Linked DNA regions of Xenopus tropicalis. The protein of the gene in region 2 purifies or fractionates together with the protein of the main gene of each other region. This does not show direct contact. Links are inferred from orthologs where the notes say so. Each region holds a gene or a part of one and is shown on either strand. Other genes may lie near its edges. The genes, in order: c1qbp and neurog3.

Region 1 (4,272 bases), on a different chromosome or scaffold from region 2:
TTGTAGAAAATAGCAGGGGGCACACCTGCATAATATTATATATAATTTGAAGTTCAAAAAATTTAGAAAAGTTCAACTTTACCTCATTCTCCTCAGCTTTCTGACCTTCTTGTGGCTCCTCATTAAAACTTGGTGGAATGCTATTGTTTGTGTTGAAAGTAACTGCAATCCTAATAAGACAAAATATATTTTCCAAGCTTAAGTAATTATAACTGATGCTACTTCAATATGTTTACATAGGATTTCACCAGTCTACCCACCATGCTGATTATATTGATGTATTTGGCCATTAAATGGTTAGCTGGTAATCTATAAGCTGTCACTACACTTAATATATTTTCAGACTCCCAGAAAATAAGTCTTAATGGGATAGAGGCACATTCCAGGTTTTAACAGGAATATATAAACCCTAGTGCTGTTATTCTTTTGTAATGTATGTGCCCACCTGCCTCCTCCAGCTCATCCCTTACTAACTTGCATGGCTTGAAGTTAAACATCTTCATGAGTGACAGCACACTTGGGGAAGGGACAATGTTCTGATAGGCTGGAGGACAAATGTTAACATCTTGCCTACGAGAACATCACCTCATCCCCACAATGCAATGTAAACCAAGAAGGAATAGGAGCAACTTGGCCATCCAGGAATATAGTCAACTTGCACCAATAATCACTTATATTTTGACACCCCTCAGTGATTATGCCTTTTCCTTCCAATTTAATTTTCATTCTCATTTGTTACTGCCTATTGCAAAGGTAAAATTAAGAATCATAAATCAGGTATTATGATAATGTTTCCCCTGAATTCCTTGTCTTGTCTTAAAATATTAGTGGACTATACATGAGCATGTATAGCAGATTATTCTGGTTTTGTGCTTAATGTGAATACATTACAATCGTATTCTACTGCACTTATATCTGAGGTCCAATGTTTAATCACTGAAGCAAGAATATGTTTCTTAACAAAATGCCTCTACATCAACCCAGGAAGATGAATTGGGTCAGTAAAAGAACAAGTCAAAATAAGTAGGTTTTTTTTTTTAAAACTCTGTACAGCCCCCAGAACAACATACCTTTCTCTCATCCAAATTTTAGTTTCCCTATTACAGTCAGTTCAACTACAGCATTTTTAATGACCTCCTTGTCTAGGGGGAAGCCCCCTCCCCTTTTTGCTTTCGGAGCACTCCTCTCTCCGACTATGACCTCATGCCTGATTGATTTTATTGTGTGCAGAGGCAGTGAGCATGCCCAGTAAGCACCTCTTTAAGGTCTTCATAGTGGAAGAGAGGAGAGCTTAGAAAGCTAAACAGGGCAGAGCTTCACATTAGACAAGCAAGTCAGTAAAGGAGATGCAGCTGCTTGTAATACAAAAACAAAATCAATTTTCATGGTTAAAACGTGTGTTATTCTGGGGGCTGTTTAGAGTAATTTTAGGGGATTAAAAAAATAAGGCTTACTTAAGAGGACAATATAATTTTTATCTCAAGTGGCAGATTCATCATATCATTTAACTATATGCTAGGATATAGGCAACCATCATTAGTACACTTACTTTTCACCTGATATTTTTCTGACCAGTTTAGCCTCTGTGCCATTGATGTCTAATTCCCACCCACCAGACATTTTGGGAAGGTTCTTATGTTTCTGGATCTTTCTCTCTTCTTTGATTTCATCTTTGAGAAATTCAGCAAATGCCTTGTCACCTACAATAAATATAAAAAATAAATCAACACATTTTAGGGGGGATTTGAAGCTTATTTTTCAAAACTGTGCATCAGCTTTCAGACTTCTAAAGAAACAACTTGATCATGCACACCTATTACACATTCTATACTACTTTTAAGAATTAAGTCTTTATTTTCTTTGAGAAAACGGGACATAGCAAACGTATCCTGCAAATGTAATTTTTTTTTGTAATAAAGTGAATATATTGTACTTGCCGATAACTTATATGTCTATATCTTACATTTTTATTCATGTTATACTGTTTGCAGTATCTTGTTTGGAATGAGCACTAAGGTAGTATATAAAACAGTTTTGGTTCCATTGGGGATGACTTACAACTCTGAAAGTCACACATGCAACATCATTCAGGAATTACACTAATAAATCATTTCACATCTCAACAATGACACAATAAAATATTTGTAATGTGCATATTCCTGCTTTATCTGGTCCCATAGTATTTTAGGATAATTTAATGTAAAATACCATCTAGGCAAAGGAAACACTGACCCGACAATGTAAAAAATATGTCCAAAATATGACACAAAGCCTGCATACTTGAGAAAGCTCTAGTGAAGAATTACTTGATTCAAAACAATTTACAGAAAGGTTATTTTTCATATATAATGAATCTCATATTCATGAAATAAAATGATTTAAAAAACATTTATATTATAATCTGATATCGAAACAAGCATTAAGAAAAACAAGCATTTTCAGTATGTGGATGTAGGCATACAAATGTCTGGGAGGCAGACGCGAAGAACAGACAAAAAATGTACATCCATGTCCCGAAGAGCTCACAGTTTAGTTGTGGAATGGTACCAAAACCCTGCCTTACATAGCGCACTAATGTAAGGGCCAGGAGAGCACTTACCCTCAGTGTGCAGTCCCCCACAGCCACAGGACACGGCCGGGAAGCCACGTTGAGGATGCAGGAAAGTCTGCCTGAGCCCCGGATTCCCCCCGAGCAAACATAATGAGCGTGAGAAGGATCGTCCGGTGCACAAAGAGCTCAGCAGCTGTTGGGGCCGTACGGCCGCTACCCGTGTGGCGGATAAGAGAGCTCGGGACAGTGTGGAGAACATGGTCCTGCAGATACCCACGTGTGTGTGTGACAAGAGGACACCGTGACACCCCTGACCTTTCACCTCCCGAAAAGGAGGCGGAGCACAGGAAGTGTCGTCAAGGTCTCCTTGGCTACACGCAGAGGTCGCTGTTGATTGCTTCTGTCTGTAAGGAATACGTTCGGAAGAGAAACCTTTGTTGTATATAGACGTTGTATTGTAACGCTTGAAATGAGAAATTAGAATCCAGTGGTTTACTGGTCACATAGACTGGCAGCTTGGAGAAACACAATGCTTGTACTTCTGAAGGGTCATATTTATTATAGTTTTGTGTAAGCCAACATTACCGGAGATGTTACCCTGTAGCAACCAATCAGTAGCTAAAGTAGTAGTTAGAGAACAAAAGCAAAGCTCTGATTGGTTGCTAGGGGCAACATCACTGCTGATGTTGGCGTGCATATTCTGCCCCACTGTGTACACCTGAAAACACCTTGGCTGAAAATAAATACAATAAATAGGACTCGAGCTGAAATGGCATTCTGCATATTGTTTCAGTTTAAAAAAAAATAAAAATCTTATTTTTTGCAGTTATAAAGTATGACTTTGAAATTTGGGTTATTTTTACTCAAATAAGCCGCTCTTTTCTTCTAAACATGGTTGTTTGTTCAAAGCTCTCCTTCTACCTGAACAAACAAACAGCTCCCGTCTGTAAGCAGCTGCCTTTGAGGTATATATCCTAATATGGCTCCTGGTTGTAAAGCCAGTGTACATTCCTCTTACTACACTTTACGGACACTTTAGCAAAATATTGGAACAGCACCATGTATTTGTAGATTGTAAGCTCTTTTGGGCAGGGCCCTCTTCACCTGTTGTATCAGTTATTGATTGCTTCATATTTTACTTTGTATCTCCACTGTATAAAACCCACTTATTGTACAGCGCTGCGGAATATGTTGGCGCTTTATAAATAAATGTTAATAATAATAATGTCATTTTTCAAACTAAAATTACTTTTTTTTTTTTAAAAATTGATAAGATAACATAAAAGTGGGCCCTCTGGTTTAGGGGGGGCCTTATGTGCCAGTGAAATCGGGCTGGTTTAAATTTACTGTGGGATTGAAGACCACATTGGCTTGTCACTGTGGCCCTTGCTCTGACGACTTCTAGTCTTTTCATTGTAATTTAATGATATATAATGATAGAATTAGCCCAATATTGCCCACCTTAGTGCAGTGATCTGCAACCTGTGGCTCGTAAGCAACATGTTGCTCACCGACCCCTTTGATGTTGCTCCCAGTGGCCTTAAAGTTTTACTCCAACCAAAGGCTCCTGCAGGCTTTCAGTCCACATGGGGCTACCAAATAGCCAATAGCAGTCCTTATTTGGCATCCCCAAAGAACTTTTTTCATGCTTGTGTGGCTCACCAACACTTTGCATTTGAATGTGGCTCCTGGATAAAAAAAAGTTTGGGGATTCCTGTTAT
Region 2 (3,808 bases):
AGAAAATATATGTTTAAGGGCTCTGGTACACGGGGAGTCTTTTTCGTCGATTTGCGCGAAATCGCGCCGCCGCGTCTGCCATCCCGCCGGCGACTTACATGTTCGCCGGTGGGATGGCAGGGGGAAGGCAACTCGGGGAGATTAGTCGCCCGCGAACAGGGAGTTTTGCCGCGGGCAACTAATCTCCCCGTGTACCAGAGCCCTTATATTGTTCAGAGGGCAAGTGCTACCAGTTTTACCAGTGGACTATATTGTCATTTGTGGGCAGACCCTGCAAGGATGGAAATATCATATAGCACTATTAATTACAGCTTACACAGACATGCATTTTTGTGTTAATGTATACATTCTATGAATCACTTCTTCCATAAAGCATTTTCTGGATGAAAAAGGTTATTGAAATAATTATTGTGATCTGTTTGGAATCTGTCACTGGAGGATAGTAACCTGCATTAGGGGATAAAGGAGAGGGGGATACAGAGACAGTGTACATGCATTGAACATCTTTTTGTCTCCTCAATGTGCAGCATTAACATTGATTTTTTTTGTATTGTGAATAATTTGTCTATTTATATTATAATACACATACAAATAAGCACAAACAAACAAACCCATAGATATATTTTGTAAAGAAACCTTTATTGCCAGCATTTTTTAGTTCAATAATCCTGGCTGGTGTGAAAAAAATATTCTTATCATTTGTACAAAATATATATTTCTTATGACTTAAAAATAATAAATACACTGAACAGCAAATTATATAATTTAAGTACATTGATTATGGGAAATCATTTTGTTTCAATGCAGCATAATATTGACAGAGCTTGTGTAGCCATATACCAGCCATAACAAACAAACAAAAAAAATCAGTATAAAATTACACGATTTCCACACTAAGAAAAAGTTGGAGAAAATACAAAAGTTGGATATAAACGTATATAAGAGCTCGTCAAACTAAGGGGCAAAGGGTGATTAGTATACAAAGTGCACAGAGTAGAGAATGCTTTGTTAAGGCAAATATGGGAAGAAGAGAGAGAATATAATTTAAAGGGAAGGCAGATGCGTTAGGTAGCTTAGTAGTGTGGCTCTATATGGTGAGAGTCCCACACGAGCCAATGGGTAGGAGCAGGGGAAGCTGTATGGCAGCTTTACACAAACTCTGCTGCTATTGAAGTGCTGTGTCTTAGGCAAGGGTGGGACTGAGGCATCAATTCATCCATGGAACCGGTGGGGCTGAGGCTACTATCCTGGAACAGTGGGGAGTACAGAGAGTCCCATTCAGTCGAGGAAGTGCTGCTGGTAGGGCTGGAGAGATCCATCATCAGGCAACTTTTGGGGAGCTTCTTTAAGGAGTCCAACAAGTGCTGCTGCTCGGGGCTGAGGAGGCTCTGGTCAGCCATCCGGAGAGTTTCCGACAGAGCCCAAATATAATTGTGTGCAAACCTTAGGGTCTCTATCTTGGTGAGTTTGGCATCATCTGGGAAGGTGGGTAGGACACTTCTCAGTGCATCCAGAGCTGAGTTCAGGTTGTGCATGCGATTTCTCTCCCTGTCATTGGCTTTCACTCTGCGATTTCTCCTCTGTTTTATGACAGTGGTGTTGCTCTTTACCTTTGATCGCATTCGCTTCACCTTTTGCTTCTTTCTCTCATTCCCCCTGGGGTGGGAGTAGCCATCTACCAAAGTGCAGTCTTCACTTTCTGCAAGGCTTAACTGGGAGTCTGGGGTGCAGGGGGGTGAGAAAGGGGGCACTTCATTGTCCGAAATCTCGTAATAAAGCTCTGACTCGCTTCTCCTCTGCATATGGGGACAGTCACTCTTGGGAGACATCCTGTAGTATCCAAAGGGAAAAATGTTAATTCTAACAAATCTAAACATTCCAGTATTCAATGCTCAACAGTACAAATTCTTTTTGTGCGTTAGTATGCCCGAGTTGTGCAGTCAGTACACAACATGATTGCTTTTACAAAATGATACATTTTAACATCCCACCCTCAGAGTCCAAAGCTGTTTCACATTTTATGGGCTAGAGTTAGTGCCAAATATCCTGCCAAAGGTACTGACTGTAACTGTTTATATCCAGTATAATTACTGATTTTCTGCACTTAATCAACAGTTTGTATCCAATATAGTTGCTGATTTTGATAAGACAAGTAACTTCAAAGACAGTTTGAAATTGTATGTACATGTACATACCTCAAAACCAAGACTGTGGGTTCTCTGTATGTTGTGTGTCCTGCAAGGTGAGCTGCCTGCCCTGTCCCGTTGGACAGAAGGGTGCGAGGTAACTGTACAGCTGAACTGTGTGAGAGATGAGCAACAGACTTTCTCACAATCTTTATATATGCAGCCCAGGACAATGCTGATTTGGTAGTCAATACAAAGCATGCCCCCTTGGCACACGTTATCTTATCAGTCCTCGTGTGGAGTGTGCCTGGATCACTACAAGCTGGGAAATGGCCAATCAGAGGCAAGAAAGACACACGACCCCCCCCCCCCCCACACACACTACCAGACACACAGCTGGAATCCCATTAAGGGCTCAGTGGGAGGGAGAAGGGCTCCCCAATGTGACACAATACTGTTAGTCCAGCACTTCACAGCAGTATACACAGACAGATCACTTTGCACAAAGTTTGAGAAAACTGAGAATCCTCCCCATTTATTATTCATTTTTGTGAGGCTTTAGGGGAGGCTAGAGAGAAGTCCCTCTGTGTGGGAGAGATGTTGGTGGCAGTGAAAGTGCAGACAACACTGCAGGCGTCTTCTATTATGCCTGCAAGTTTTAGTGCTGCTGGTTTTGCCATAAACCTTTAGGTCCTTGTATAGCTGCCCATAAATCAGATTGGCTGGAGAGTCAATTTGTAACCTCCCTCCCTCCAGTCAATCCAATTCCTGCACAGATTTACAGAGACTTAAACTGTGATGGAAAAATCAGCAGCATCGTAAGGATGTTTTACAGAGTGCTGGAGGAGTAGGTGGAATTTCTATTACGTTTATGATGCAGGTGACTTGGGATGTAATTATCCCCATTCCTAAACTGTTGGTGCAGTATTAGGACAGTGACACACGGGAAGATTAGTTGCTGCGCGACAAACCTTATACAAAAGGAGGGGATGGCAAATGTGGGGGTGGGATGGCATACGCGGCACCGCAATTTGCCTAAGTCGCCCAAAGTTTCCTCTCAAGGCAACGTCGGCGACTTCGGCAAATTGCGGCACCGCGTATGCCTTCCCACCGACGATTTCCATTCTAGCCGGTGGGATGGCATTGCGGGGAGATTTGTTACGGCGCGACTAATCTCCCTGTGTACCCCTGCCCTTAGTGATCTTAAGCTGAAAGTGCTGTTTTATCTGCTTCACCTCCTTCCCCCTCCAAAACACTGCTAACATTGACAGTAATCCTACAGCCCCTGTATAGTTCTGGCTCTGCAGCATCTCCACCAAGAAAGCATTAACCCTTCTCTTGCAATAACCAGCCTAGTTATCAATTGTTAAATATAAATACTCCATGTGGATTAAACATCCACTGTGTCACTAAATATTATGTGCTTGGGGAGTAAGCACTGCCTCTTGCAGTATGTAATATAAGTGGTGTACCAGTACCCACTTACTCTGACTGTACATAATGTGCTTGGGGAGTCAGTACCTACATCCTTTTAATAATTATGTGCTAGTGGTCAGGACCCATTACTGTTATTGTATGAAATAAATGTGGTGCCATTACCCATTTCTCTCATGGTACAATGACTGAGAGCATAAAAATATTTTTTGATTGTCCAGCTTTGAAATCACTGTATTCCACAGTTG

The links.
Region 1: the proteins of neurog3 (region 2) and c1qbp purify together in Homo sapiens (affinity purification with mass spectrometry; 3 studies listed by BioGRID and IntAct, counting the BioPlex papers as one, with this or other methods). This does not show direct contact. The link is inferred for Xenopus tropicalis from reciprocal best matches to the Homo sapiens genes NEUROG3 and C1QBP.

Annotation. Positions count from the first base shown.
Region 1 is NC_030678.2:105,098,112-105,102,383, forward strand, and holds the start of c1qbp (complement component 1 Q subcomponent-binding protein, mitochondrial), read right to left. Parts: upstream 2,936-4,272; 5' UTR 2,811-2,935; coding exon 2,600-2,810; intron 1,701-2,599; coding exon 1,550-1,700; intron 171-1,549; coding exon 83-170; intron 1-82.
Region 2 is NC_030683.2:45,189,316-45,193,123, forward strand, and holds neurog3 (neurogenin-3), read right to left. Parts: upstream 2,412-3,808; 5' UTR 2,196-2,411; intron 1,831-2,195; 5' UTR 1,830-1,830; coding exon 1,149-1,829; 3' UTR 619-1,148; downstream 1-618. UniProt on the Homo sapiens protein: Acts as a transcriptional regulator. Together with NKX2-2, initiates transcriptional activation of NEUROD1. Involved in neurogenesis. Also required for the specification of a common precursor of the 4 pancreatic endocrine cell types.